Linked DNA regions of Drosophila melanogaster. The protein of the gene in region 1 interacts with the protein of each later gene in a pairwise test. Each region holds a gene or a part of one and is shown in the gene's direction. Other genes may lie near its edges. The genes, in order: Orc4, CG6923 and Liprin-gamma.

Evidence for each region.
Region 2: the proteins of Orc4 (region 1) and CG6923 interact in a two-hybrid assay, tested with the Drosophila melanogaster proteins (one large-scale study listed by BioGRID).
Region 3: the proteins of Orc4 (region 1) and Liprin-gamma interact in a two-hybrid assay, tested with the Drosophila melanogaster proteins (one large-scale study listed by BioGRID).

The regions. Positions count from the first base shown.
Region 1 is NT_033778.4:24,792,397-24,801,177, reverse strand, and holds Orc4 (origin recognition complex subunit 4), read left to right. Parts: upstream 1-3,763; 5' UTR 3,764-3,885; coding exon 3,886-4,077; intron 4,078-4,137; coding exon 4,138-5,325; 3' UTR 5,326-5,438; downstream 5,439-8,781. Other genes in the region: CG3611 (uncharacterized protein), read right to left, coding at 1,703-2,068; CG12849 (uncharacterized protein), read right to left, coding at 2,565-2,714, 2,778-2,942, 2,992-3,147, 3,206-3,253; ETH (ecdysis triggering hormone), read left to right, coding at 5,720-5,905, 5,964-6,389; Reg-5 (rhythmically expressed gene 5), read left to right, coding at 8,274-8,387.
Region 2 is NT_033777.3:11,742,872-11,755,481, reverse strand, and holds CG6923 (uncharacterized protein), read left to right. Parts: upstream 1-5,452; 5' UTR 5,453-5,784; intron 5,785-5,993; exon of another isoform or gene 5,994-6,240; intron 6,241-6,456; exon of another isoform or gene 6,457-6,522; 5' UTR 6,523-6,592; coding exon 6,593-6,692; intron 6,693-6,747; coding exon 6,748-10,124; intron 10,125-10,188; coding exon 10,189-10,313; intron 10,314-10,374; coding exon 10,375-10,543; coding exon of another isoform or gene 10,544-10,570; 3' UTR 10,571-10,999; downstream 11,000-12,610. Other genes in the region: Lk6 kinase, read left to right, coding at 1-33, 95-305, 371-2,510; CG43062 (uncharacterized protein), read right to left, coding at 4,583-5,107; CG14722 (uncharacterized protein), read right to left, coding at 11,757-12,610.
Region 3 is NT_033778.4:22,348,512-22,358,164, reverse strand, and holds the start of Liprin-gamma (Liprin-gamma), read left to right. Parts: upstream 1-3,456; 5' UTR 3,457-3,777; intron 3,778-9,289; exon of another isoform or gene 9,290-9,335; coding exon of another isoform or gene 9,336-9,653. Other genes in the region: CG11298 (uncharacterized protein), read right to left, coding at 9,336-9,653.

The DNA.
Region 1 (8,781 bases):
TGTTTCGGCCTTAGTATGTGCTTCTTTATTATTTTATTTGGCTTTTCCTGTGCCTGTGCCAGTGCCAGTGCGAACGTGATCACCGTCTACCTGCAATGACGAGCGAGATCGCTGCAAAACTGGATTAAGTCCCTTCTACGCCCTAATCCCGGATGGACTTGCTGGTCCTTGCTGCGATGCTCTCGTACGAAAGGAGAAGTCCTGACCGAGACCTGAGACCTGAGACATGGCGCCAGTCAGTCAATCGAGGCCCCTGACGAGCACTAATAGGATCAGCAATGCTGTCTGAGCCCTGGCGTGAAATCCGCAAATGTTGTTTACCCTGCCCGAAAAGGGGTTGACCCCTGACCTCTCTGCACACCCACTCCCCCGAGTGCAAAGTATGGCAAGTAGGTGTCTCTGTGTTTATTTGTTTTGAGCTCTACAGCGCAGCAACTCTCGTTCTGGCCTGCTTTTTCGACTGTCACCACTGCTCAGTCTTGAGCACCGCCAAAATCAGAGGCTGTCCGTCCGTTGGATTGGGAGGAGTATGAGTCAACAGAAATAAGGTGATGGTCTCGAAAAGTTCGCATCGATGCGATGCTGATGGGAAAATCGGGTGAACAATGAGAGCCGAGAAAGGCGCACAAAGCTCTCCTCTGGAGAGCCGCATCAAGATATGGAAGCATATACTGGAGTCGGGGTAAGTACTGATCCGGCCATCATTATGGCTTTCGATAGCAATTATCCGCTACCGTTTAATTGCGCGCTTGGCGATTCTGTGGGCTGCTGATGGCTGATTTTTCACACGCACTTGCCGCTGCCCACCTGACGATCCACCTCCCCTTCCCCGCACATTGGGCCGATTGAACCACCACCCACTCTGTGAATGCTGTCATGTGTCTAATGAGTCGCTGGCCCAGTTCGCAAGTTGGCCCAAAGTTAGCGTCCTTTGTGTAATTTGCACACTTGCATGGGCATTTGCATTTCCTATTTTCCCCATTTCACAGTTCACATTTCCACTTGCCACTTTCGCATTTCCATCTACCACGCACTCCGATAGACGGATGGGCTCGCCGGAAACTTTGAGGGTAATTTGCATATGGAACTTTTAAATCATACTGCTCGAAGTTGGCCCACGACACCTGGGCTTACGTCTGCAATCGCAGGAGGAGCAGCTGCGTCGATGGACACATTTATCAAGGAACTCGCAGTGCGGCGTGCCCCGAAATAACTATATTTTCGCAAACAGTATCCCAGATTATATTTCACAATTGTAAATTTATCAATCAGTTATCAGGCGAAGTGACTGTCCTAAACGAAATCCTTAAGATTCGCATGGTATCTATAATTAATTCACTGAGCATAATATTTCCCAGTTTATGGGCGCCATAAAGCAGTTTCCGAGATCCCGAACAAGCGAGGCAAGTCATCTCATGGAGTGGACAGACGCGATCACTTAATTACCTGTGTGAACTTTTCAACTGCGCCCCAGTAGGAGAAGGTACAGTGAGCACTCGCTACGGCGGCGAGGCGGGCGGGGCAAGCAGTTGCAGGTGGGACTGACGTTTTCACCTTGTTAATTATGCGCACGGTCATGCTAAAATCGCGTAATGAGTGACGGCCATTGAGAGTTGCATTGTCAGCAGAGAATGATAGTTTAATCGTGAGGGGTTCTGGCGAGGATTGGGGAGCAGAGCGGGCCGGCTGGTCACAGGGTGTCCTAGCACATGTACAGCTTGGAGGGCTTCATTCGGCCGTACTCCCCGTTCTCGGTGACCGCAACTTTGAGGCCCGTAATGCCGTCTTGCTCCAGCATCTTCAGATCCTCCAAACCTTCCGCAACCTCCTGGGCGGTAACCACGAACTTCTTTGCCAGGCGCCTGCGGTTGGCGTACTTGAGGAAGTGGCCGTCGCCGTACCGCTGGCGACTCGTCAGATAGATCTGGTCAATCCGCTGATAATGGCAGCACTGCATCTTAGGGTACCACGCGAAGGTCTCCTGCCAGTGCCTCGTCGTCCTTTCCATGGCATGACTGAAGGCGAGCTGGTAGCGCAGCTGCTCCGTGGTCACTATGTCCGCCGGCATCTTGTCAGGGGTGTGGGGTTGTGTTTACTTTACTTCGTGTCCTTCTGGTTGTGGAGTGGATTGATATATGTGTCCGAAATGTGTGAAGTTTGTGGCTGGCCCACCTGATTGGCAGCTGAGTTGCCAGTCCCGAGTGCCAATCCCGTTTTCTGTGTGCTCCCTAATCGCATTAGCAGCCACTTGACAGACGACAGGTGCAGTGCATCCAGGTCACTGCCAGCCACCTGTGCAGAAACTCTGCACATAATTGTTAACGCTTACGAACTGGCCTAGTCTGAAACCTATGTACATGTTTAAGTTAACTTTCGTCACTACACTATATTTATTTTCGTAAATCTCAGTAATGTGACAAATACATCACATACAGACCCACTTAGACTTACTATATTTACTATATTGGTCCTGCTGACCCCCATCCAATACTAAAACGGCATAACACCTTACCAATATTTCTGCTTACGGGTTGAAGAGCCTGGATATTACTGGATTTGACTGTTTAGCTCTTGGTAAAGTATAGGATGACATCGGTGCGCGGAATGCCCGCGACCATCCATGTGCTGTTCATCATGTATCTGCCATCGGGGATGATCGACTGGACCAGCTTGTTCAGATGCTGCACGGGAAGCTTGTCGAGCACGATGTCGTGCTGTGGGTGGGTGGGTGAGAAAGGCGAAGGTTATGCGGCATGAACATGGCAACGCTCACTCACGTCGTAGGGGCAGGTGTGGTTCAGGTTCGAGTAGGGGCCGAAGGTCTGGTAGACCCAGTTGGCGATCACGTGCTTGCGGTCGCGCATGAACTTGCAGGAGTCCACCTTGAAATCAAAGTTGTACAGGACTCGCCTGTTCTCGCGCATCCTCAGCTGGAATCTGGTCTGGAAGATGGTCGGGTGGTGTGAGACCGACACAGTTCTATACTCTTACCTCGCAGTTGTCGACGGGCAGGCGGAACATCTTTGTTTTTAGCGAAAGGTACTTGTAGGTGCGGTTCACGGACTTCAAGTAACAGTACTCAAAGTCCATAAACATCCTGTCGCGCACGAGGCAGACTACATTATTGAATTCGAAGTGTCCTCGGATCTTTGGATATCAATTATTCTATAGTGCCATCTATTAGCCATACGCATTCGATTCTTACTGCCATCGGAGACATAAAAATCAGCAGAAAAGTCCACAATCCGCTCATTCCTAAAGAGGTCTGGATCACAATAACCACAATACCGAGTGCCAAAAGCTGAAGCATTCCAAAAGTTATTAATTGTGATTACTCGATCCATTGCTGTTATGAAATTGCCAGCCGATATTAAATAATCTCTGAGAATCCATTGAGTGTTTAATAACTTATTTTAATGGACATTTAAAATACACAGCATTCCAAATAAACCTATTCCAGCAAATTGACCCTCAAAATGCCAACGACTATGCGATTAATAAAGAAATTTGTTCATATTTTTAAAGATGTTTATATGTATAATTGATTGTTATTTATAGAGTTACTATTGTACATATTCCTCAATCGTAGGTCCATTTTGTATGAACTAAAATGTTGATATTTCAAAATGTGCTAAAGCCGCAGAAATTAGATCGTATTGGTTTGTGGCACGAATATATTTTTCAGGCGGCTTAAGGCAACACTGAGTAGTATCAGAGTTCCAAACCACCGTACATTAAATGAACCAATATCGGTTTTGTTCCATCCCCAATGCATTGTTGACGTTTTTTGGCGCGACTTAATTACTGGCAGAAATCCAAACTATCTGTGCGTCCATTTAACTAATAAATAAGGAGGAATAAAGGAGTTCCGATCCGAGAGCGAAAATGCCGGAGGCGGATAGGGAGCTGGTCAGCATCAGGCGCTTCCTGAAGGAGCGCCTCCAGCGAGACTACACCACCTTGAGGGGCTACGCAAAGGAGCGGTCCAATGTGCGCCTATTGCTGCAACGCACAGCTGAAATGGGGGAATCCAACTCCTTGCTGCTCCTTGGGCCGCGGGGATCCGGAAAGACAACGGTATGAGTGCAGGCCTTACCGGGAAACCAATCCAGTAATCTATGCTTTCAAATTCTTTAGCTCATCAACTCCGTGCTGGCCGATTTGCTGCCCAATAAATCGTTCGGGGAAAACACTCTCATCGTCCACCTGGACGGTAATCTGCACACGGACGACCGAGTGGCCCTGAAGTCCATCACTGTGCAGATGCAGCTGGAGAACGCTGCGGATGGGAAAGTGTTCGGATCGTTCGCCGAGAACCTCGCCTTCCTGCTGCAATGCCTCAAGGCGGGTGGCAAGCATTCCAAGAGCGTGATCTTTATTCTCGAGGAGTTCGACCTCTTCTGTGCTCACCACAACCAGACCCTGCTCTACAACCTCTTCGACGTCTCCCAGTCAGCCCAGGCGCCCATCTGTGTACTTGGCGTTACCTGTCGCCTCGACGTGATCGAGCTGCTGGAGAAGCGGGTCAAGTCGCGTTTCTCGCACCGGCAGGTCTTTCTCTTTCCCAGCTTGCGGCGCTTTGAGGATTACGTTGACCTGTGCAGGGATCTACTGTCCCTCCCGACCGGCAATTCACTGTTGCTGGCGGCGGAGAAAATCTATAACCTACAAAACATCCAGTCGGGGGCACTTTACTTCTCCCGCAACCATTTTGACCCCGGGGAGTACGGCTTTTCGCCCAGACTACGCGATGCCTGGAACAAGCAAATATGCAAAGTCCTGGCCACTCAGCAGGCAAGAAGCACCCTCCAAGCGCTCCATGACTTCGACATTAGCGAGGCCTATCTCAAGAACTTCCTATTCCGCCTGGTGGCACATCTCCGACCGCAATCTCCCCACATCACAGCCGAAAAAATGGCTGCAGTGGGATCACAGTTTGAGGGCGACGACAAGATAGAGCTGCTTTGCGGGCTCTCAGTCCTAGAGCTGTGCCTGATCATCGCCATCAAGCACCATTCGCAGATTTACGATCGCGATTCCTTCAACTTCGAGATCATTTACGCGCGCTTTTCCAAGTTTGCCAAAGTGTCCACCACAATGCAGGCCGTGGAGCGGTCCATTGTCCTGAAGGCCTTCGAGCATTTACGCATCGCAGAGCTGATCATGCCGCTCACCGGTGGAGCTGGAGGGGGCGTAGGTAAGGTGCAGAAAGAGTTTGAGATGCATAAGCTGGCGCTGACATACAGCCAGATTCACCACTGTATGCAGCGATACCAGGCCCTTCCCACAGAGGTTGCTCAGTGGGCGCAAAGCTCTCTGATTTAGCAGCAGATCAGAAATACTTTGTATATTTATTTATTTAAAAAAAATTGTACCGAATCATTTAGTTGGTAAAGCCCTGTTTTGGGAAAATAAACTAATTTTAATTTATAAAACGTATATAAGAGAAAAGACAAGCATTTACATACGCAAGTGGTATGTACTATAAAATTTAGTTCTTATACAAATGTAAGTAATGTAATGTGTATGTATGCACTTAATTATGGCCAGGCATTTAGGTCAGGTTAGTTCAGTTTTATCTGCTTTGCACTTTCCGATCGATAATGCTAATTCCTGGAGTCACCCGCATTTCTATTCCACGCAAGATGCGGGTGGATCTCGCTATATAAAGGCCACCAATTGTGGAGCAGGAGTCAGGTGAAGCTTCAGTCGCATCAGCATGAGAATCATAACAGTCCTGTCTGTTTCGCTCTTGGTGGGTCTTGTGGCCATAAGCCAGGCAGACGACAGTAGTCCAGGATTCTTCCTAAAGATCACCAAGAACGTACCGCGGCTGGGCAAGCGAGGCGAGAACTTTGCCATAAAGAACCTAAAGACCATTCCTCGCATAGGACGCAGTGAGCACGTAAGTTATACCCATGGGCTTTCTTAAAGGATATTTTTAAACCATGAACTGTTTTCAGAGCTCTGTTACTCCTCTGCTGGCGTGGCTATGGGATTTGGAAACGAGTCCAAGCAAGCGGCGCTTACCCGCAGGGGAATCCCCAGCGAAGGAGCAGGAACTTAACGTGGTGCAGCCCGTCAACTCGAATACGCTCCTTGAGCTGCTTGACAACAACGCTATTCCCAGCGAGCAGGTGAAGTTCGTCCACTGGAAGGATTTCGATCGTGCCCTCCAGGCAGATGCCGATCTGTACAGCAAGGTTATCCAGCTGGGACGCCGTCCGGACCAGCACCTCAAGCAGACTCTCAGCTTTGGCAGCTTCGTTCCCATCTTCGGCGACGAGCAGAATCCGGACTTTATGATGTACAAAAACAACGAGGATCAGGAACTTTACGGCGGGGGAAATCGCTACGATCGCCAATTCCTCAAGTACAACATCCTGTGAGATGTGGAGTATTCGATTTGAATACGGACAAAGGAATATGACATTATAGAAATACATGTAACTTACCAACACTGCTAGCTAGTGTGTTTCAAATATATCCGGAACCTTGAAAATGGTCCAAGAAAAAATTTAAATATCTTTTCAGTTGAATAATCCCAGAAAACAAATGCCTCTTTTGGTAAGTCCAAAAAACACCTCTAAAAACGATAGTAAACATAATAAATTTCGGCCATATGGAAATGACTCATCCTCTATCGCACGATGGTCTGAATATAACGTAAGTCTTCTCCAAGTCTTCATTAGAATGCTTTCCCATAAGTACGTAAATACAAAACCAAATGGAAAGAGAAAATCGAAATCCGGATTGCAGTTGCTTGGATCAGAGCCTTTCTTTATCGCATTCCCGGATGGAATCGAATGGAATCAGCACATTAACGGTGCTTCTTTGACCAGGTCCACTCCACTGCAATCCGCACCTCAATCTGGCGAGTCAACAACCCAGCTGTCTTCTTTTGGCGGGGATTTGGGGATGTGGGGTGGCTGACTCAACGCAGCGAGCTCGGGCTTATCAAATTTATGGGGTCCGTGATGTTAGGAAATTCCAGCGATCGCATTCTTCTGCTCCCTTTTACCGACTTCTACCTTTTAATTGAATTAAACGATCTGCCCGCGAATTGAATTCCCAAACAGGATGATGGCGCCGTCGCATTCTGGAATTTGATATGTTTATTTTGCTTAATTAGCGGGCTGCTGTTAAGTATGCTGACCAGAATTCGCCACAATCCAGTAATCCCGCGGCTCATCAACAACTTCAATTACAAGCCCGGCTTGATCGGACTCAGACGCGATGACGACGCAAACTTGACTTTGAAATTTTTGCAATGCCTCACTGATGTTCGACTCGGTGCTGGTTGTTATTGTTTTTGGTCTTTTTGATTGTTTACTTTGGTTTTTAATTTCTATTTTCAGTGCAAGCGTAGAACAAGTTTGATAGTGGCTCCAGGGGCTTAGGAAGACAAATGTAAGGGGGGACTGGGAGTCGTGCTTAAGCCTTTTGCCCAAGCGCGACTGAAATATTTTGCTGTCGTGTATAATCGGCTCGAAGGACTCTCAGATACAATCTGTATGAGAATCTATAGTCTATGAAACTACACTACCTAACACAGAATATTTAAACATTCCCACACATTGAGGTTCCAATTCCCCGATGGCATCGACGTGCGCCTCTGTTTTTTTCGGGGGGCTCCCGATCCCCCACCCGCTGCCGCTCTCCCTCTCGCTTTCGCTCACTGCCGCTTTCGCTCTGCCGTGCGATGGCGCTCTCTGCGCTCTCCCAAAGCCGATCTCAGAGCTTAAATACGTGTGGAGCGCCAGCGCTGTCCGAAGACGACTCACTGACATCGCCGCGATCGGTTGTTCGACATAGTACTGCAAGATTATAGTGCTCGCTCCGTTTCCGTTTCGCTTGGAATTCGCCGTTTTCGTGATCGACTGGTGGGCGCCCCTCTCCCTAGACCGACTGACTCCCCCATCTTGCCGAGAAACCGATGTGTGAAACAAGCTTTTGCGTTTCAAGCTGAGACACACGTACACCCGAAAACAGCGATAATACGAATTGGCCACGCTCGTTGTTTGGTTAATTCAATTAAGTGCGTCGGACAGAAGAAAGCCACTTGGCTAGCCACCGAAACCAAGTGATAATCTATCAAGCCGCCACAAAAGCGCTTTTATTGGGCCCTAAAAAAAAAGAAAGTCGCCACACGAAGGTTACACAACCGAACCGTGCAATTGACCCACGGAACACGGATCACAGATCACGGAGCACGAATCCCCTGAACTCTCCGTGTAGTGCGGAGTACGCAACATAAAAGCAGCAACGACACCATGACGACTGCGGCGAAAGTAATCTTGGCCTGCTGCCTGCTGGGCGCCTTCCACATTCAGATCAGCTCGTCATCGGCCATTCCCATCTGGGAGTTCCTGACCCGCAACGAGAAGGTAAGCGAATTGCACATTGCGCATACGCCGCGTCCGCCAGGTGCAGGTTGCGCATACGCCTCGTTTACTCCACTTACACACGGCAATTGTCCTTGGCATTGCGCATCTGTCGAGTGGAGTCTGTTGAGTCTATTGAGCTCGATTCAATCTGTCGAATCTAGCGCAGCGCTGAATACTTGATCAGCAGAGCATGATCGTTAATAATAGCGATATTGATATTGATATGGATATGGGTATGGTTATGGATATGGTGTTGTGATAACTTCAATGAGTTCGCTGAGTTCGCATATTAACGGCGCTTTGCGCGCTTCTGTTTTTGGGTTTCTCTCCGCACTTTTCAGTCCGTCGAAGACAAAAAACCAAAGGAATGAATATGAATGTCAGCATGAATATG
Region 2 (12,610 bases), on another chromosome or scaffold:
GCCAGGAACTGCTTTTCGAGTCCATTCAAGAAGGTTCGTGGATGCTAGAAATATTATCATTATTGATATTAATCATAACCTTACTATTGTTTAGGACACTTTTCTTTCCCGGAGGCCGAGTGGCACGATGTCAGCGATGAGGCCAAGGACCTAATTTCTAATCTGCTTGTCAAGAAGGCATCGAACCGCCTCAGTGCCGAGGCAGTGTTGAATCACCCATGGATTCGTATGTGCGAGCAGGAGCCACCGGCAAGCAAGCATGGCAGGCGCCACAAGGCTTTGCAAACGCCCAGTAACATCCGACGGTAATTAAATAGAAAATATTACGGTTGATTTTCAGAAATAATTGATGTTTTTCATAAATTTGCAGCAATCACCAGTCGGCAAGGGAAATCTCGCAGTTTGCCGAATCTGCTATGGCCGTCAAGCGTGTGGTCCTACAGCATTTCTCGATGCGCTACGATTACATGAAAGAGCGTCCCAACATCTACCAGCCATCGCAGGCCTACATGGATGCCTATAGCGATGAAAACTACAATCCCAAGCCGCCGGGTCATTACACTCGCAATCGCTCGCAGCGCAATCCCGCTTCCTCCTTGTGCGGCTACGGAGGGCGTATGTCCTCGATGCACGGCCAGCGGGCCAATAGCCGTCGGTCTTCCCGAAATGCGTCTCGCAATGCATCTGCAATTTATCCGAATAGCGGGGGCTTCAAGACATTGAACGTCCACGAGGAAGATGACGACGATGAAGGTCTGGAGGCTTTTGGCCACATCGATGATGATGATGAGTGGAGCAGGTCTAGGAGGGAATATCAGCAGCAGTGTGAGACGCTGGGCGAGGATCGCTTTAGGCGTCAGAGCGGAAGCGAAGGCGACGAAGTGGAAGATGATGAGGATGGAGAGAATGAGGACTATCAGCACTATAAGCATTACTGGCGCGAATTAGACGAGGAAGAGGGCGACGACTATCTGTATGAGCAGCAGCAGCGCGTCGATGATAAATTCGGGGAAGAGGAGTTCGAGGACGAACCAAAGGAGGAAACTCAAGCTGACAATCTAAAGCTATCGAAAGCTTACGTGGAGCAAGTTGGCGAGACCAATGTGGAGAAATCGAAGCCACAGGACGATAACGGTGGGTATATAAGGGAGGACCTTATTATGGATAATATGGATATGAAGAAAAACACTCAGCAAAGCGAATTTGCTAAGCTCACCATAATGCGCAACGATGCGCAGACGGAGGAGAATAAGATAATGCAGCAGCAGGATGAGGAGAAGAAAGAGGAAAAACAGCAGGATGATGTTGATGGGGCTAAGAAGCAAGGACCATCAAGTGATATTAGTGCTACTACCATCACCGATAATAACAAGCTGCAAACACCAGTTATGACTACAACACACATTAACAACTGGCAAACTGGCGATGCAATTGAAGATGATGATGTTAAACTATTGGATAGTATTAGTGATTTAAATGAAAAGCTACCTGAAATTTATGAGACTGCAAATATTGTTGTCAACTCAGCGGCAGTGCCAGCAGCATCGACACCAGCAGCATCAGCAACACGCCCACCAACCGATAACCCAGAGGAAGATGATTCGAACGTGACCAAACCGACGACTACTGCTGAGGGGACAACAATGCAAACGACTTTTGGCATGTCAGCGGAAGAGGAGAAGCCTGTAGCCCTATCCCACACCGCGGGTCACCACAGCAAGACCGGCCGCACTGTTAACTTTGCCCCCGATGCATATCAGAACGACGAGGATGCCGATATCGACGAGGACGACGACTACGATGACGAGGAGAATCTGCATGAGCACAGCAAGCAACAGCTGCCGTCCAATGCCTACACTCGTAAGCAGCGACAGCAGCACCAGCGGTACATTGTGCCACGCTACCAGCTTGCGGATCAAGTTCCTCAGAGGCAGCACACCGAAAACTGGCGTTATCGCACCCATCACTCGCAGGAACAGCAGCCGACAGCGGACTATCGCAAGTATCGCCCGCCGTTTAGCACCGGAGGCGGCGGTGGCCACCATGGCAACCAGCAGCGCAATTACCTGGGGAGCTTCTCGCACAGCGGCGGTGCCGCTGGTTACAAGATTGCTCCAATGCCGCCACCAATGCAGCCGCCTCCGCGGCACAACAGCGCCGGAAGCAGTGGCAGTGGTAGCGGCAGCGGCGGATCTCCGCCATCTGACGAGCAGTCGGCCATACGCAACTGGCGTCAGGATTGTGTTTACGCCCGCAGTTGCGGGATGAACCAGGGACCGGAACAGCAGCGGCACAACCGTTCGTCGGGTCAGCGTGTCCAGCAGCAGCCGCGGATTGGCAGTGGACGCTTCGCCCACCTGCAGGCGGCCCAATTGATGGACGAGTTGCCTGATATGAGGATCGGCCTTTCGCCGCCCAGCGAGAGTGTACTGCTCCAAAGGCGCCTGCGCCAGCAGCAGCGGGCCAACGATCTGTCTGAGTACTGCGAGCCGGCCACCGCCAGTGGTTAAGCGGGTCCACTGTGGACAGATAACTCTGTTTTTTTTCACGCACATTCTCTTAAAACCAACTTTCCAGTTCTATCATTCTTTTTGGTGCAACTTTTCAAAAGCTAACGTTTATTGCAAAAGTGTATGCAAACTATTTAAATTCAATTGATTCCGCCACTGCAAACAGAGTTAACAAAAACCCCAAAAACAAAAAAAAAAAAAAAAAAACAAAAAAACGATAATAATAAAATGATGAATACTTGTGGTAGGAGAAAGCGACTGCGAAGTGAAACCAACTGAAACCGAGGGAAATTGAGAGTGGCAATAGTCTACGCTGTTTTGAAGCAAGCCAAACAGTCGTTCGAGATGAAAACAACAGAAAACAAATACCTTTTTTTATAAAAAAGATTCAAAAAATTGTAATTTATATTGCAGTATAATTTTTTATTATGAAAAATAAAAACGAATACGAAAAGTGTTTGGTCAAGAGATGCATAAAACACTTACGACTTTTCTGTTTTGGTGAAATTGCTTAAATACTAAGTACTCTTAAAAATTTGTTCATGCCTCTTGATTCAAAATGATGATAATTTTACAACGCCCGTTCCAAATACCAACATGTACAACATATGAAAATTGTTAATATTTGAATAGTATGTTTTTATTTCTCATGACAAAAATTGTTATAGGAAAGGATAAACGGGCAGCAAGAATAAGTTGATTTTACAAAGTTAATTGAATTATCAAAATTTCGAGTCGCTCGCCAATTAGTTGGAATCGAAATTTACACTTAAAAAATTAAACGCTAGTAAGTTATTTCAAAGAAATTGACACGTACACAAGATAAACTGCAATATAAAGGTAATTTTTTGTTACAGTTTATAGTTTTGTAACGTGTATATGCCAATTGCTTGGAAATAGTTTACATGCGTACAGTTAATTATTTCAAAAAATACTGAAACATATATTTAATTAAGCCCCAACACTTCTCTACACTGACATCCATACACACTAAGGCCAGCTACACTGGGCAAAAATCGAACACACTCTTGACATTGCAAGTTGCTCAACACGTTTTGATGGGCGTAAATGAAATAATAACACGCAAACCAATTTTGTTAAATACATACACCTATAATATTTAAAAAATTGTGATATAAAATGTAAATGTAAATGCACCTGAAGAAATCTATCTATCAAATGACGCTGTGCCATCAACAACCACTTCAATCTACTGATAAGAGGAGTATCATTTTCCACAGACCTTATTTGTTTACGTCCCACGAAATCAATGTCAAGTGCATGCTGCATACACACCAATTCTTCTATTTTTCCAACCAACAGCAACTTGTGCGAAAAACTTCCAAAAAACAAAAACAAAATAAACGAAAAATTAAACTGACCACAAAAAATAAAGTTAAATGCAGACATATGAAATCATAAATGATTGTTCATAATTTTAGCTCAAAACGCTGCTGCCAAAAAAAGTTGCCAACGGCCTCGTTTTGGGTTTGGTTAAAGTTTTGAACATTTGCTAATAATAATAACAGCGTCCAAATAATTTATACTATTCATGCAATGAATTCCTACAGAAGCAATCAAAGTTGCACTGAAACTGAAGTATTGAAGTGGAAACTATCGCTTTCGTTTGTTTGTAAAACTGTGAGGAGTGTTTCGCAACGAAACAAAAAAAAAACAAATAATAACTATGAGTTGAATTTACAAGCAGCGCTGCTTAAAATCCGATAAAACTACACTCAAACAAACAGCACCTTGGTTTAGAAAATGTCCGTTAAGCCAATGGTTAAACTTAAGTCGTTACACTGGTCAGCGCAGCTTTCGAGAAATGAACACCAACGAGAATATGGGGAAATCCTGCAGATAATTGATTAGCTGACCGATTTAATCAAGGAATATTTGTATGAAGCGAATTGGTTTTAAAATTATGGCTAAACAGAATTGGAAACGAAAGCCAAGAGAAAAGAATACGAAGCCAGCAATAAAAGAAAGAGTAGATATTGTTTTATACATATAAAAACTCAATAAAAACACTAAATACATGATATGTTAAGGCTTGTGCTGTGCATATGGATTTATTTCAGGCAGCAGAGAAGTATAACCAGTCCCAGCAGGCAGATAACCCAGTTCAAGCACCGCGTATTGTCTCCAATGGATACCATGTGGTAGGTTGGTGCCTTCGTTTCCGGGAAGTGTAGAACCATCAACTCGGGATTCGTGCTGTTCCTTTGCGTGGAATTTTGCTTAGCCAAGCATTCTTTAAGCAGTCTCTCCAAGAAATGGATCCTTTTGTACACGCACTCGAAGCCCGTGTGGTAATCGTAGACTGATGTCCCATTTCGAATGAATTTGCCCCATTTATCCACTAGAAACCAATCGAGATTGTTTAGCCGGCTTCTCCCAATTGTAATGAAGAAAACTCGAGAATCGTTTTCCACATGGAAAAAGGCGTACTTGTGGTTTTCGTCCTGATTGTGGTAATGGGGAAGAGTATAATACGTTGAAAGTGTCTTTTTCTTTGACCTTCTTTCGTGTATGCCCCGGCACAAAAACACGAATGTCTTATTCTTGATTGGCCAGCATTGTGGGCTTATTCCCATGTTTACATGAAAAGAAAATGAAGGAAACTATGTTTGTGATAGCAAAACTAGAAAATGTAATACAGTTTAATTAAGATTAACATTAAAAACCAGATAATTATGATTCGCAACTTTCCAACTAAGAGTTTCTTTGTATGTATATATTAAGCTTCCCTAAACAGTGGTAAGTAGTGGTAGTATAGTTTCTAACGGTATATTTAGTGCCAAAATATTTGAATTATCAGTGTGGCCATACTGCGCAACTTTAGTCTACGAAAGAGCTAGCTAGCTTCTATGCGATAGTATCGCCATCATCGCCGAACTGCAAGTTTTTGCACCGTCGAAGAAAAAGTTGTCTAAATATTTCAGTTCGGTGTTGTTACTGCTATAAAATCCAGTAACACATACAAAATGATTAAATCGTGAGAACATATATATCGCAAATTTGCATGTGCATAATGTAAATTTGTTCCGGACAGCAGCTGCGAATGAGAATAGTCCCCCGCCCCCGCGAAAAGAATTGCATTTAAACTCCCTTGTGTTCCCCAATAGCAGCTGTTGGCCTGCCAACCCCCACCACCCACTCTCTTTGTTTTGCCCAATCGGAAATCCCCACCCGGTTATTCGCGTAATCCCGGCTTTAGGAATTAAGAAAATTACCAAAATCGCAATATTTCTGTGTTACACATATAATAGAGGTAAGAATTATTTTGGGGACATTTGTTATCATTGAACAGCTGTTCATAGTTTGCCCACAGCCGAACAGCTGATTTGGCGTTTTCCCCAAATTGAAGTCAATAGTATCGAAACATTCAATATACTTAAAGCTGAATGTTATTCGTAAATTTTAATTTAAGTTAATACAAAATAAACGCATCAGCTTAATATCAGCTTAGACATATCGATATGCTGACATATCGATACAACGCTCATCCCTATTGCGTTGGCTAAAATAAAGAACTGCTGAACTTAATTAGTAATAAGTTGTCATAAGTTATTTAGAGCTTCCGTGGAAACCCCCATCATCCCAGTGCATGGAATCCGATAAAAAGTTTTCACTTTTCACTGCGGCGCTTGTGTTTTCCCCACGTAGCTTTGGAATTTCCTGCTAACGGCGATGAAAAACTTGACGGAAAAGTGGTGCTGACAAAAGAGTGTGTATTTGACAAGCAAAGAAAAAATTTCCGTCTTCAAACTTTATTTTGAGCTTTAAATCGTTTTTACTCGCTCGAGAACTGTGCAAATAATAGCCCCGAATTTCCATTTGGAGTACCTAGAGTACATAGCTGGCAATAGCTTTGGAACCCAAATACTTAACCCACTGCTTGTTTTTGTTTCTGTTTCCGGACAAAAAAAGCAAACTGGTCTCTGTTAGACAGTTGTACCTCCTCATACCCGTAAATTAAACATTTTTTCGTACATATACACAATTTTAGCGCATTTTGGCCTGCATGCGCTGCAACGCACCTTTGCCGTTCTGGTAACGTTGCCCACTAGACGACTGAAATGGATAGCTTGGAGAACGACCAGGAGGAGCTGCACCACCAGCCGAGGGTCACCTTGGCGTACGGCAGTGTGGCCACCAGTTCGGGTGGACAGGAAAACCGTAAGCTGGCCATCATCTGGAACCAGATAGTGCTAATCCTCTTGTGCTTTTGCAGATTCCCAGTATGCGATGTACTATAATCAGCAGAGGGATTCGGAGGGCTACATGCTAATGACGCCCTTCCTGTCCAGTTCGCAGAGCCACAGCCACACCCGTTCGCCGCCCACGTACACCGCCATGGTGGAGCCACGTCGCGAAGAGAGTTCTGGATTTGAGGGCTTGGCCAGGCGGTGTGACAAGTGCAGTTCGCTGGACGGACTCTGCCGCTGCGAATCGATGGTGGCCAGTAGCAGTCGCTATGCGGACTCCACACAGAACCAGTCGCATTCGGAGGCTCAGTTCTTGGAGCAGCCCTCATCCTCCACAGCGGCGATCGCCAATCCGCCCGCTGTTCATTCCATTCCACGACCCAAGCGAAAGAAGACTGAACCCCTGACAATGGAGCCAGAGAGTGACAATGACGGCGACGCGGTGGTTGCGTCCGTCAGCGGCACATGGCCTGCCGGTGCTATAGAAGAGCATGCTATGGACTCTACGGCGGTCGTTTACGAGGTCCCCTCTAGTTCGCTGCAGCTCAGCAACAGCTCCTTCGAAACCGCCCCAAGTGCCGTAAATGCTTACGATGATGTGACATCGAGTGCCTCGGACACGGAGCACGGCCAGTTTGCTCATACGCGTACCACCAACACCACGACGACTACGTCTGCCGTTCAGGCTCACAAGAAGAAGGCCAGCCGCTCCAATAATGCCTCCAACACCTCTTCCAGAGCAGTAGATACGGATGCCACGCCAAGCACGAGTGCCCAATCGAGAAAGCGACAGATGAGTCAATTTTCTTATCGCAAATCAAGGGTTTTGGAGCCGGAAAACGAGAGCAGCGATGATGGCTGGGATTTGCGTGTGCATAATCCCGTTCCACCAATTGAGCCCACAGTAACGATTATCCGTGGTAGCAGGGGGTCCGACGAGGCCGAGATAGGTCATACGGATCACAACTACTATAATAGTCGGTGCGCTGTGGCGGGAGCTCCACCGGATAGTACCTACATTAGGTCAGCCTCCTGCTCCACGGCCACCCATACTACACGTAGCGTGGATTATGGATCTCGCATTGGTCGAAGGTCGGCTGCAACAGGATCACCGTCCACAAGCTCGGATCAAGAACAGGAGCAGCAACAGCGCCAACAACAGGAGGAGATTATTCACGAAGAACGGCGTCATCAGCAGTCACCAGGCCAACCCATGCACAGTATGTACGGTGTTCCCGGCGAGTCTAGAATGTCATGGAGTCGTGCGCGGCCCTCTGACGACTCAGTGCCGCCTAGGAAACATGCGCGCATGGAACTGCCCGGAAGATCGCGTTCCAAACTGTCCTCAACGAATTTTAATTCGTTCTATCCTGGAAGGAGAGGACACCGAACCTTTGCGGAGCAAGGGAACAGTTCTGGGCAACATCATGTGCGGTTTCCACCATCCTCGACGCCGAATTCGAACGGGCCCTGTGTGATTACGTACGTCGGCCGGCCAAGAGATAGTCAGCCCGCCGCGGATCTCAATCTTCCGTCCACATCCACGGGAAGACGTGGCAGCCATGAGACCCGCGCCGATTCCGTAGTCTTGACGGCACCAGACTTGCAGCTGGATGATTGGTCATCGGACGATGATGATGATGACGTAGTATTTGTGCACTCCACTCGTGAGCCCATACTCTCAATCGATTTGACATCCGACGACGATGGCTTGGCCAATGATACGCAACTGCAGAGGGATAGGGATAGGGGCCGTGAAAGAGAACGGGAGCGAGCAAGGGATCGGGAACCATATCGTAATGACACTCAACCCAACCCGGAGGATCCAAATGAGGATAGGAGGACCATGTATGACTGTGCTTACACATTCCCCTATGCTCGCAGGACAGATCGTCGTACAGAAGCGAATAATGAGGGCACCTCTGCATTCGCATTTTATAGTGGCGCTCTAGCTGATCGGGCTGCCATTTCGGACCACAATTACAGCTACGAGCTAGACCAGCTGATGGATCCCGGCCCCGGTAATTTTTACCCGCCCCGCTGCTCCAACATGGATCCACAGCGCTACTTCCTTCCGATAAACGAATCCTCGATGTGGATGCCAGGCCATCCCGCTCCCCCGCCACCTCCGCCCCCGATGCCCCCAATTTTGCTGCCTGACAACTCTTCCACTGAGGCATACTTACGTCATCAGCAAAGAAATCTTACATCCACTCCAAGCAGCTCGTCCAGCGAGCAGACATCAACGCAGCAATCCCGCCACAGGCGAAGTAGCCCGGCGAACGTGTATCATCGTTACCATCCGTACTATTATGCGATAACAACGCTGCCAACTGTGGTGGAGTCGGACTACCCGCCGAGTCTCCAGCCTCACCCTCACCCTCATCCTCATTTTCAGCCCAGTCAAGGCGGAAGCAGTCGCAGTTCTTTGAGTGGAGCTTTGAATGCGGCTGCAGTGGCAGCCACAGCGGCGGCGGTACAGGCACAAACTTTTAGTGATTTGCTATCACAGGCCCATAATGAGGGACGTGCTGCGGCCCTGGAAGGCAACCGGACACCTCCACATACAATGGTGCATGCGCAACACCAGCAGCGGCAATCCATTAATCCGCCAGCGCCAGGAGTGGCATCAAATGCAAACCTGGCGGCAGCTGTTTCTCCACCACCGCCGCTTGAAATGTATTCCGGACGGAGCACCATTCCGCACTGCGGATCTCCGCCGTTCAGTGTTCGACGCTCCGAAGCTGCGTATAGCAATAGACAGCACTATCAGCCGCAGCCGCATCAAGGTCACCAGGCACCGCAGAACCAGATGCACGCCCACATTCATCCCCCTCACCGGGCCAGCGCCATAGTGGCCACCTCGCTGACGCCGGCTCCACCGTATCCGGTCCATCAAAATCTGTGGTACCGCCAGCAAAGCATGCAGGAGATGCACCGTCGCCACATGACGCCCACACCTATCGATCTTTCTTCGAATGCTCCGCTATTAACGAGCACGCTGCGAAACGGGTACCTGCATAGCATCTGCAGTTGTGTTCATGCTCGGAACGGTCCCGTATCAAGCCTGGATCCCGCTTACTATCCGCCGTACGACGCTGCACCGGCAGCTGCTGCTCCTCCACCATCTCCTCAACAACAGTCGCCTGCTACATCCGGTTCTGGCAATAGTAGCGTGGCAGCACAAGCGAGTATGCGACATCTGCAGCTTCAGCCCCAACAGCAGCCGCAGGCTCAGCAATCGCCACCAGTAATGCAGCATATGCAGCGCCAGCGGGCCATACACCACCACATGTTCCATCACCACTACTCACCACTGCATCTGGAGATTGGGCTGGCCCCCCTATCTCTGGGCTCCCGTATCCTTATCGCACCATCACGTCCAAACCGGGGAGCTACTTTGGTAAGGCCGTATAGAAATCAAAGTCATACCTATTTATATTAATTAGTTTTTACGTTTATTTCAGGAAACTATTGAGCGGAATACCTTGCCTCACAAATATCGACGCGTCCGAAGACCCAGTGAGACCGATGAGGATGCCGAGAAGTGCGCCATTTGCTTAAACCTCTTTGAGATAGAGAACGAAGTTCGGTAAGTTCAATGTGGACGTTACCTTATAAAGTTCTCTAATTATATTAAATAACAATTGCAGCCGCCTGCCGTGCATGCATCTATTTCACACGGATTGCGTGGATCAGTGGCTAGTCACCAACAAGCACTGCCCCATTTGTCGCGTCGACATCGAAACACACATGCCCAACGACGCTCTTCCCCCCAGCTCCAGCGGAGTCCCAGATGCCGCCAATTCCGCCGCATTATGACATTGTGTGCACGGCATCTTTATGTAAATCCCTCAGACTGAGTTTGTTCTCGGCATGCATCGATACAAGAACAAAGAATGAAATATTCGTAAAAACCCCTATATACATACCTTAAAATGTTTAACCCACCGCAACGTATGTAAAAGGCAGTTGCCACAGCTTGCTGCCGTGTTGCGCTGAAAGATATCAAAAAGCTAAATTTGTTTGGCTCAATTTCTATGTCTAAGTATATTAAGTGATTCGGCAAATAATTTCCTATACATATGTACAAATTGTCTACGTTTTGTGAAACAAAATTCTTGTGATAAGAATTTCATAAATATGCGTATATTGTTATAGTATAGAATTCCCACGACGGGCGTATATGATAACTTTGACCCCAGCTTGTTGTTATATTTTTAATGATCACACAAAATAATATAACATCGGACCCTAAACTTAACCGATTAGAAATCGATTTGGCAATTTGCATTTTTCTTGAGTAATTATTTGAAGGACTTAAAATCTGGACGATTTCCTCTCATTATTTAACAAATTTTGTTATGTTTTGATTAGTCACAAAAATGTAGAGAATAATCTTTTATTCTATTACCAAAGACCCTAGAATAATTCTATTCTATTCTAGTGTCTTTGCTATTACCAAATTATATATAGTACATCTATTTAATTTAATAGATTACGGATTATTGCTCAATATCTCATAACGTGCCATATATAAGTGAATTGATTCGATGCAATTTTTTAAATCTTGAGCTAACATATTTTAAAAAGGTTGGTTTTATATTATAGAAAGTTTCCTAAAACTTTTAAAAATTGGCTGTCTAAGACGGCAGAAATCAATAAATAATCCAATAAACGTCTGTTGATTTTTATTCCACCGATAAAAATACGATACACCTTTATTTCTGTTTGGGGTTTACATATTTTATTTTAAATCAGTTCTATTATCAATAACATTTCATTGTGAAACTTTGTGTAAAATCTTCGTCCAACATATTAGGGATTGGGGTAGCTACTACGTTTTGACGGTTTCAAAGAGGTTCTATCTTGATGGGTCAATTCATTCATTTACTATTAATAAATCTGTGAATATACACTACTGCATAAAAGTCATTAGATTAAGCATTGCATTAATTCATGTAAACAGAAGTGTTTGTAGAATCGCCTCACATTGACCCACCAACTATAAATCATTGCTAGCAAATATATCGTTCTAGGCCATATTACTGGGTCCAGCGCCCGGATCATCATCACCATCCGCGTTCTCTTTGGTCAAGTCGGAAAAAAAGTCAGATGCATTGCTGCATTTTGAGGAGGGCAGATTGTGACGCTGCTCCTTGTAGGCATTGTGTTTCTCATTGTACTTGATATCTCCAAAGTCCTCGAAATACTTTACATTCCAGAATCGCACGTCGTTGTTGTGCGAGGATGATGCGATGAGCTCACCGCTGGCATTCACGTCTAACGATTCGATGGGCATGTTATGCTGTCCCACAACGCCGAGATTACGATACGGAGCGATGTGACAAGCTCGAATGTTTCCATCCTCTCCGGCGACGCAAGCAATCCGGTCTGTGATGGGGATCATTAGACTAATGGGGCTCTTGATGCCCGGATACATGTCGCAGTGGTACCCAAATTGGCCCCAGTTGTAGGTGTACAAGCGACCCTTGGAGGTACCAACCACCAGCTTGGAGTCACCGCGGTAGACCCCCATGCAGTTCAGCTCCTCCTCGTACGGCTCCGATTGCACGTACATCTTCCGTGCGGATATATTAAATGTAGTCAGGTAGCCATCGGCACTGGTGGCCAGCAGAAGCTTGCTTTGCTCGTTAGTCGTCAGCTGGGTGATCTGATCTTCCAGTTCTTTTAGCTCGAAGATGGCGTTCTTGGTGCGCAAATCCCACAGCTTGACCGTACCGGCATCATCGCCCGAGGCAAAGAGATTTTCATTCAGAACGTGCAGCGTGTTGATGGCATCATCGTGGGCCGTCTCGTATAGCTTTTTTAGTTTCTCCGTTTCCATATCGGTGACCATCACGCACTTGTCTTTGGAGCAGGTGAGCA
Region 3 (9,653 bases), 2.4 Mb from region 1:
CAGAAATGTGTCGTTGCCTTGGGGCAGGACCGTAATAAAAACGAAGGAATAAAACGAAATAAAAATATAAAAAATGCGCATACGCCGCATTGGCTTCGCCTGCCTTATAATAGACATTAATAATATATCGCCGTTTCCGCTCCAGACTCCTTCTCATCCGATTGCAGTGGCAAGTGCGATAAACCGTTTAGCAACATCCGGAAACGGAGAGAGAGAGAGAGCAGAGATAGAGCGCTATGGTCGAGTGTCGCGACTATTGGATACCCGTTAATCAGATGGAGAGGATAAAGATAAAAAAGAAGAAATGAAATGCCTTATCATTTCCATTAAATTGGTTTTAATAGTCAGATTTTTGCTATGTCATGCTTTTCAACAAATCGATCATACCCTTGTACTCAACGAGTAACGGGTATAAAAGAAGGAAATAGTGTAAAGCACAATCCTAGCGAAATTGCGAAATTGCTGCCCTGACCATCCACTCTCTATCTCTGGACATTTACATACTAATTCGATTCATTACTGTCCAGCCAGGGCTGGAATCTTAATTGAGGTAATCAATGCATCTGTAAGCTGATTTAGGTTGAGTGGTTTCTTTGGACCCCAATCGGCTTAAAATTCAATGCATTTTCAATTTGGCATATTCGCATCTGGCCATCCTTGAACTCTGATCGAATTCAATAACAAGAATTGTATAAGAAGTACACGCAAATATTTTGCAATGAGATATTTGCTCATATGCACACACAATGGCCGTGCAGCAACAAAGGCTTCAAAAAGTATTGGGAAAACTTTGGCGACGACTCCCACCCACAGCAGCCCACTGCCTCCACTTCTCCACTTTCCATCTGCTAACTTTTTGCAGTGCCATCTGCGGAAAAGTTTATTGCGATAAATGAAAATAGGAAGCGCACAACGAACAGTTACAACAAGATGTTGAAATAAGTTGTCAAGCCAACGCATCCGGCTGTTTTATGTATTTTCTACTCCCATTTTTTTCCTGCTTTCTGGGCGTGTATAGTTTTCCACTTGTCTGACTGCGGCGGCTGTCGGCGATAAGCGCAAGGCATTGATAAACATCCCCATTCTACGCGGCACCGCAACTCCATTTCTTTCGCAGCACTCCCGTCTCATGTCCTCCCCCCTTTTAGGTGGGGATGGAGTGGATGTCAGGCAGTGACAATGGCTATGCCGTCCCCACAATTGGTTGGCTTGACAAAACGCTGGCCGGGACTTGTAATACACCTCAAAAAAGTAAGGGTGTCCTGTAGTATGGAACATTATCTTTACACCAACATGTAGATGCATTCAAAATGTCTGGAATTTGCTATGATATGTTGAAAGCCCCCACGCTTAGATCTTGATATCATATTATAACGATGCCAGTAGAAATTTAGTTGCTCCTAATGCAATCTTAGATTCTTCTCTCACTGCATCTGGCTCAATTCTTAAGGTTGAGGTCGTCGTAGTTGATTTTCCGCAGCTCTGCAGGCGGCAGGTTGGAAAAGTGGGCAAGGGGAAATGGAAAAGCGGGTAAATGGAGGGTTGCTGGGGGCGGCGACTGTCAGTGGGACACTTGGCTGTCAATGGCAGTTGAGTTACGACAAAAGGGAAGAATTGCATGGCAGAGACGTTTCCTTCGGCTTCCATGGCTTGTGGAATTTTTCACGCGTCACCTGTGGCAGATAGTGCTGCTCCCGCCGCCTCTTCTCGGCGGGAAGTCTTCTGTCTTGACTTTGTCGAGGGAGTCGGAGTTTTGCCATATATCCTAGGCCTTTTCCGATGGAGGAGCCGAGTTGAATGAACTAGCACCGTAATCGATGCGCCTCCGTGTGTGCGTTTGTTCTGCCGCCATTGTTCGGGATATCAGATACACATATCCTGGCACCGATGGCGGCGTCTGCCAGGAGAGCCACAAAAAAGGCAGCAGGATGGGCTCAGCAGCCGCTTGACATTCATTTGATAACATTTTATTAGCATCAGATGATGGCGGTTATCTCATGGCTGCACTTCACATTTCCGCAGGCAGACAGATGGCAACCACAATGATTGTCAGTCAAAATAAAGACAAACAGTGGCCGTGTCCATGAGTTTGCGGATGCGAAGGGTTCGAAGGGTGGGAGGGGTATGGCAGGAGGATGTATATAGGATATATCGGACCGATTCAGTCAGGTGCAAAGCCCTCTACGTGGCTGCGGCTAGTCACGTCTGCCACTTGTGCTTATGAATGACACTACACTCTCTGGCACGGAGCGGTAAAGGGATTTATCCGGTTCAAGTCCTGTGAGCTCAGGATAATGCACTGCAATGGCTCTCATTCGGATTACTCCACCCTTACGCGTTGATATGGCAATCGATTCCGCTTTGAATTGCATAGTTGCGATGCGGGAAAATAGGTTTGTTTATCAAGCCAATCGAAAGGTAGTAATTGAAAGGATTGCAGAAGAGGCAAAAAAATAACACTTTAATATGAAACTCAGTTATGAATCAATGTTTCCAGTTAAATGTAACTGCAAAGCTGAATCAGAAAGCCACTTTTATCACAGCTGTCAGAATTGTTAAGCCCTTTCAAACTCAATTAAACCATTTAGACTTTAAATGAAAATGCCATTTTCGTTACAATCACATTGAGAGAACAATAATATCAATTTTCATAGATGAGGCGATGCGATTTCTTTGGCTGAAATATTTTGCACGTGTTCATTAAATCTTTTCACAATAATTTGAGCATTTGCTGTCGGGATCATATTATACATGTTCAGCTTTGAGTGCAATACTCACATACTTTCGATTCCTTTGTCAATTTTTGCCGCAAATGATAGTGTACAGTCAGATTGTTTTACAATTAGTAGGAAAGCATGCAGACTGCAGTTGTCGTTGGCAACCTCAAAGTGCGCAACATCCCCACATTTACCCACTTCATCCTCATTTATTGTTTTGAGGCTTTTCATATTTTGAAATAGTAACTCCCCGCCTGTCGCAAACAGTTGCAACCACTGACATTTTTGGTCTTGAGATATTTCATTAGAGTAAAATCGGGCTGTGTGGCCCAACCACACAGTCTGTAAATTGTTTCGTCCAAGTTAAATTGCGGGGAAAATGTATTGTGGCGTCCAAACAAAGTACAATTTATATTGCTGATTAATTGAAAACGGAGGTGGTGTCGTTGCGATTCAGAGCCAGAGCTTGACCTTCGTTTTTGGGAGCGGAGGAGCAACAAGGATTCGAAAGGATTCTTGCGGGACGTTCGGATGGAAAACGTAAACAAACACTTGTCCAAGGCAAGGCTAGGTCGGGTTTTCGAGAGATCCCTGGTGGCTATTTCTCCAGCGATTGCGAGCTTTCGCCAATGCGCATGGGCGCTCTTGTATCCTTTTTCCCATCTCGCTGTGCCTAAGCTTTCGTGACGTCACATGGACGCCGCCAAAACGGCACTCGGGCCAAATGCCAAGGACTCGAGCTCAGTGCCATTCGAGTGATTCGCCCAGTGAGACGTTCCAAGCGCCAGAATTGAATTATTCCCCACATATCCTTCGGTCTCGCTCTCGTTCTCTCTTTCTGTCCTGCTCTCTTCGCGGAGAGTGTGTGCTGGTGTGCGTGTGTGTTTCAATCAAAATCAACAAGAGCATAGCCGAAAAAACTTTCAACCAAAGCGTGTCTAACAAATTAGAAAGCCAGAAAAACCAAATAAAAAAAAAACGAAAATAAAAGAACCAACATTGACTTCAACTGTTGGCCACGTGGTATGTGGCCTTCTTGTTTTTTCAGTCAGAATCCGAGGTAAATTTTTCGAAAACAAACAGACAGACACAGCATCGCCGAAAACAAGAAAAACACTGCGGAGAACAATCGAATTTTTGGGGGGGAAAAACCACCGCCAGTAAAATTCGGTCAATATTTGTGCGAGTGTGCGTGGAGTAGGGAAATTTTTTGGAACTTGTGTGTCACTCTGTTTGTTGTTGTTTCTGTGCGCAAATATAAAGGAAAACCAGCGAACAGCCAAATAGGGAAAAATCTGTGTCAGTCGCGAATTACGCACTATCTCATTTGGGAATTTCGGGCCGCTTGGGTTTTGTGAATGAATAATCAAAGTGTTTGCACGCATTTTTAAACCGATTTGCGCCTGTGCAAATCTTTATTAATTTCCGAGTGGTGTTCTTACTAATGACAACATCAGTAATTGCTGCCAGACACGAAAATCATATTTACCTGCACAGAGAGAAAATGCAGAAACCATTTCGTAAACGAAATAGGCTTACTTCTGACATATATCAAAGGAGCTGTGACTGCACTTTTAGTAATAACTTTAACTTGGTAGTGGTATGTTTGGTGGTTTTGAGTTTTTCAAGAAATCAAAGCCATATGGGTCAAAAGTATGCCACCTGGCTGAATAAATCAAAAGGAACCGGCGGAGAACCGCGGGCGGTAAATGTTGCATATTACGTGAGTTTTTACCACGACCATACGTTACGCATACGCCATGTGGGCCCCCTCCGAAGGCAGCAAAGGCTACCAACAGTGCGTCGCGTAATAAATCGCACGACAATAACTCACGGCACCCAGGAAGGGGGTTGAAATGATGATGGGGATTTGGGACAATAGAAGGGGTAAGCAACCAGAATCGGGTCGGGCTGTGACCAGGAAAGTCGCAAACTGAAAGCTATTAAGCCGAAAGACTTAAAGACTTTTGCTACCCACCTCCGGGGACGGTCTACTCCAGCCCCCTCCCCCGCCACAATTTCCCCTCTCGCTTCAAGCCAAACCACGCACACACACACACACACACACACACACATCCGTTTCCTGTGACAAGGAGCAACAACGAAAACTCACTTAGCCATGCTGCCTCAGCCTCTGTGTTCGCCAGACTCACTTGACATGCTCTTAATACCAAATAAAAAACAAGAGCTCAAGGACGCTGAGAAAACACTCCGTTCCACTTTTGCACTGCGAGTAAGGCCAAAACCCCCAACGCCCCGGCCACGCCGTCATGTGTAAATTTTTAATGTTACCAAGACCCCCAAATGTAGGTTATCAAATTGTGTTCAAGTTGTCTTCGCCAAAAGCGCCGTAGAAAAAGTTTTAGCGCTCGCCGTTTCCCCGGTTGGAAAACATTTTAAATGATTTTGTTGTCGGCGGTTGGTTGTTTTTCGTTGTGTTTCCCTTTAGACGCCCCCTGCCAATTGGGTCAAGCATTTACATTTCACGCCTAGCGAAAAACTCAGTCAGAACTATGCTACTTCGTCACGCCCCCATCCTGCACGCCCCACTCACCACGCCCCACCACCATTCGCCGTGTTGTGCAAGCTCTCCAACGTTCGGTAGTGGTGCATCTATTTAGTCAAATTAAAAACACAAATTCAACTCTGCTCTGCCGGCTGCCACTAATTAATTGCAAACTAAATGAGTTTCTCGGCATAAAACTTTATCCACAGCAAAGCTGATTGCTGTCAGTTTTGCGGCCGAAGGAGGAGCAGCATTCTACTGGCGATGTAGATTGCAGCGAAATCGCTTGGCAAAGAACAGGGGCGGAGATTGGTTTATGTGGCTCCCCTTCTCCCCGAGAAGGAGCCCTGGCTCAAATTGTAATTTGTGCAGCTCCCACACATTCCATTCTCGCTCCATTGAAGTTTTCTGGCTGAGAAAGGGGGGCGAAACCATCGAGTCATACAGGAAATTAGGGCTAAAAGCAAGTGTAAAACGGTCAGCGCAGTGAAAACTTTCTAGCCCGAAAAGGGAAAAATATTGGAAAAAATTCTAACTTTCGAGTCGAAAGTTCACAAATATGTGAATGGAAATACTCAGCATTCTATTTAAACTGCATACGTTTAGACACCTATTTAAGTAACTTTATACGTTCATTTTTAATTCAACTAAAATTGCGTTTGAAGGGTTTTTAAAGGAGGTCAATGCAATTTCGCTCTCTGACATTCCCCTCAAGTGAATGGCTGGGTTTAGTCATCATGTTATGAGTCACACAGCAGGATATGTACGGTCAATGAAGTTAGCCTTTCGGAAATAAAGTGTTCGCTTGCAGGTAATCGAATTGAATGCTGGCTAGCAGACGGCATCCAGGCTCAGCCAGCTGAGCCAGCTCAGCGAGTCGAGTTGAGATGGGCAGGACCTTAATGATGGATGTCAGGACGGACAGGATGACCAGTCACTCACTCATTTGGCATTGAGGGCACTGAGCCATTAAATTCCCACTTGGCGTGTGCGGCGGATTGGATTTCGATGGCTGCTCGCGGCGTGAATCTGTTAATTCAACTTATTAATTTTCATTGAATTTCTCCGTTCGCCACTGTCACAGTCACTGTCACTGCCAATGTCAATTGTCACCGAGTTGTGGCGCCCTAGGGCGGGCATTGACATTATGGCACTTTGGGGTGTGCTCGTTGGTCTGTGGTTTGTGCAATCAAGTCGGTTCGAATGGTTTTGCTCAGCACAAAATACTGCATTAATTTGCATGCATTCTGTAGGCCGACATTCAATCGATATGCCAAAACTTATTGGCCATTTGTTCGGCCAATTCATTTAAATCTTTTCCATCTCAAGCCTTTGATTTATTTAGAGCCTGAGCTCCGGCTCATGGAATGATAAATTAATAAATGTGTGCATTGAATCAAAGGCAACGGCAATAAATTTCAAATATTTTACCTCCCATTTTAAGAACGAAAGCCACAGACGCACACACATGGATACTTGGAATCGCCCTTTCAAATGAGCCTGCCTCCGAGTGCTGTCACACTGGAAGAAGTGAAGAATTTAATAGCCAAGCTGCCACTTAAGAAAGCTCCTGGAGAAGATCTTCTTGATAATAGAACCATTAGACTTCTCCCAGATCAAGCATTGCAGTTCCTTGTCTTAATATTCAACAGCGTTCTTGATGTTGGCTACTTTCCGAAAGCTTGGAAATCGGCGAGCATAATTATGATCCATAAGACTGGAAAAACACCGACAGACGTTGACTCGTACAGGCCCATCAGCTTACTCCCATCTCTGGGTAAAATTATGGAGAGGCTGATCCTAAACAGGCTGCTCACATGCAAGGATGTTACCAAAGCGATTCCCAAATTTCAGTTTGGCTTCCGGTTGCAGCACGGTACTCCTGAGCAACTACATAGAGTAGTGAACTTTGCTCTGGAAGCTATGGAAAACAAGGAGTATGCAGTAGGTGCCTTTCTTGATATTCAACAGGCATTTGACAGAGTCTGGCACCCTGGGCTCCTGTACAAAGCGAAGAGGCTGTTCCCGCCGCAGCTATATTTGGTTGTTAAAAGTTTCCTGGAAGAACGCACATTCCACGTCTCTGTTGATGGGTACAAATCATCAATCAAGCCAATTGCAGCTGGAGTTCCTCAAGGAAGCGTTCTTGGCCCAACCCTATACTCAGTTTTTGCTTCGGACATGCCTACTCACACACCAGTCACAGAGGTAGACGAAGAAGATGTGCTCATAGCCACCTACGCTGACGATACTGCTGTGCTCACGAAAAGTAAAAGTATCCTGGCTGCCACTTCTGGTCTACAGGAATACCTGGATGCATTCCAGCAATGGGCTGAGAACTGGAATGTGCGCATCAACGCTGAGAAGTGTGCCAATGTGACGTTCGCCAACCGAACAGGTAGCTGTCCGGGTGTCAGTCTGAATGGGAGACTGATCAGACACCATCAGGCTTATAAATACCTTGGTATTACCCTCGATAGGAAGCTCACCTTCAGCAGGCACATCACAAATATTCAGCAAGCGTTCAGGACCAAGGTTGCTCGGATGTCTTGGCTCATTGCACCACGCAACAAACTGTCGCTTGGCTGCAAGGTCAATATTTACAAGTCCATATTGGCCCCCTGCCTGTTCTACGGCCTGCAGGTATACGGCATTGCTGCGAAGAGTCACCTTAATAAGATCCGGATCTTACAGGCGAAGACCTTAAGAAGAATTTCGGGGGCTCCTTGGTATATGAGAACAAGAGACATCGAACGCGACCTCAAGGTGCCCAAATTAGGAGACAAGCTCCAGAACATCGCCCAAAAATATATGGAAAGGCTTAATGTACACCCCAACAGCCTAGCAAGGAAGCTAGGAACTGCAGCTGTGGACAATGCTGACCCTCGGACTAGAGTCAAAAGAAGACTCAAGCGACACCACCCTCATGACCTCCCTAACCTGGTTTTGACCTAGAAAGTCTTAGTTTTAAAATTCATTAGAATAATCAAATAAATAATAATTACTATGTTATATCAACTATTATAATTCTCCCTATCATTTTTAGGATTAAAAATCTGTTAGTCTTAAGTAACCAAGACACATTGTAAAATAAAATAATTTAAGCAGATCAAATTAAGTTGCCGCATGGGTAACAGTGCGTTGATCAAATAATAAAAACATCATCGTAATCGTAAAAAAAAAAAAAAAAAAAACACACATGGGACCCCAATAAAAACCAATTTATGAAGCATGCTTCTCAGGGCAATTGCCTGCCCCCAAAACACACAGCCCAAGAGCTTAATTGAATGCGAAGGCAACTGCATAAGGAGCGTCACCGGCAGGCCACAAATCAAATAAGTTGGGCGAAAACAGGTCAAGTGCTCAGCCTGAACTTCAAGTTTGATGCTGGGAGCTGCTAACTGGGAGCAAGATGCTTTTGGACAAAGGGAAAGCACTTAGTTGGCCACCAGCAACACGCTCCTTTGACTCATGATTTGAGATGTGTGTGTGTAGCCAAACAAATATATGTATGTACACACGCTCCTGCTGACTTGCAGTTGAGTGCACATAATCGGGATTTGGCTTTCAGGACGAAGAACGAGCGAAAAGGCAGAAAACTCTACGAAATCCTTTCAATTCGCCACCCACTTTCTACTTGACGAGTCCCCCGGGCGGCGGCTAATTTGTTCTGCTTCGACACAAATTGTAACTAATTTTTCGTACTCAACTTTTAGCTTTCATTCCAATGCAAATTGCCGGACAACCTGGACAAACTTAAAGCCCTAAAAGTTAACTATAAAAACGCAGCATGGGCATGTTGGAAAGTTGACAAGCGATTTTCTGCAACTATGTCGATGGCAGACTTGGTCGAAAAGTGGAAGTTTGACAAGCGCTGCGACAGGCAAACTTTCTAAGCGGAAAATGGTGTCTTCCATACACAAAGGAAAATGTCTGAAGCAGAAAAAAGAACGCAATAGCTAATAACCAAATTGGTGTTTTCTGTGATAGCGAATGTTTTTAACTACTATGTTTTTAAATCACTTATCCGTGCAATATATTGTATTTAGAAGACGCAAGTTTGATTATTGCTTCTGAATCGACTGCCAAATTTATTTACTTCGACTTACAGCCTACTTGTGAATTTTGCCCCAAAATCGCGAAATAGTGCTGGCGTTCTGCGCCTCGTAGAGATGAGTCAGTTTTCGGAGAAGCTTCTCCTGCTTGGCCTCGTCCTTGCGCACCTGAACCTTGTGGTTGTGATCGCTGAGGTTTCTCAGACGTTTCGAGATCTGGGCCGTCCGCTTGCGCACATGTTCGTCCATGTCGCGAGTAATGCGATCTTGGGAGTCTAGCCAACTTTGGGTGGTCTGGCGATGGTGGCGATCCGTGATCAGCGCCACTCGCGCCAGACGAACGGACAGCTGCTCCACCTTGTGCTCACCCAGCCG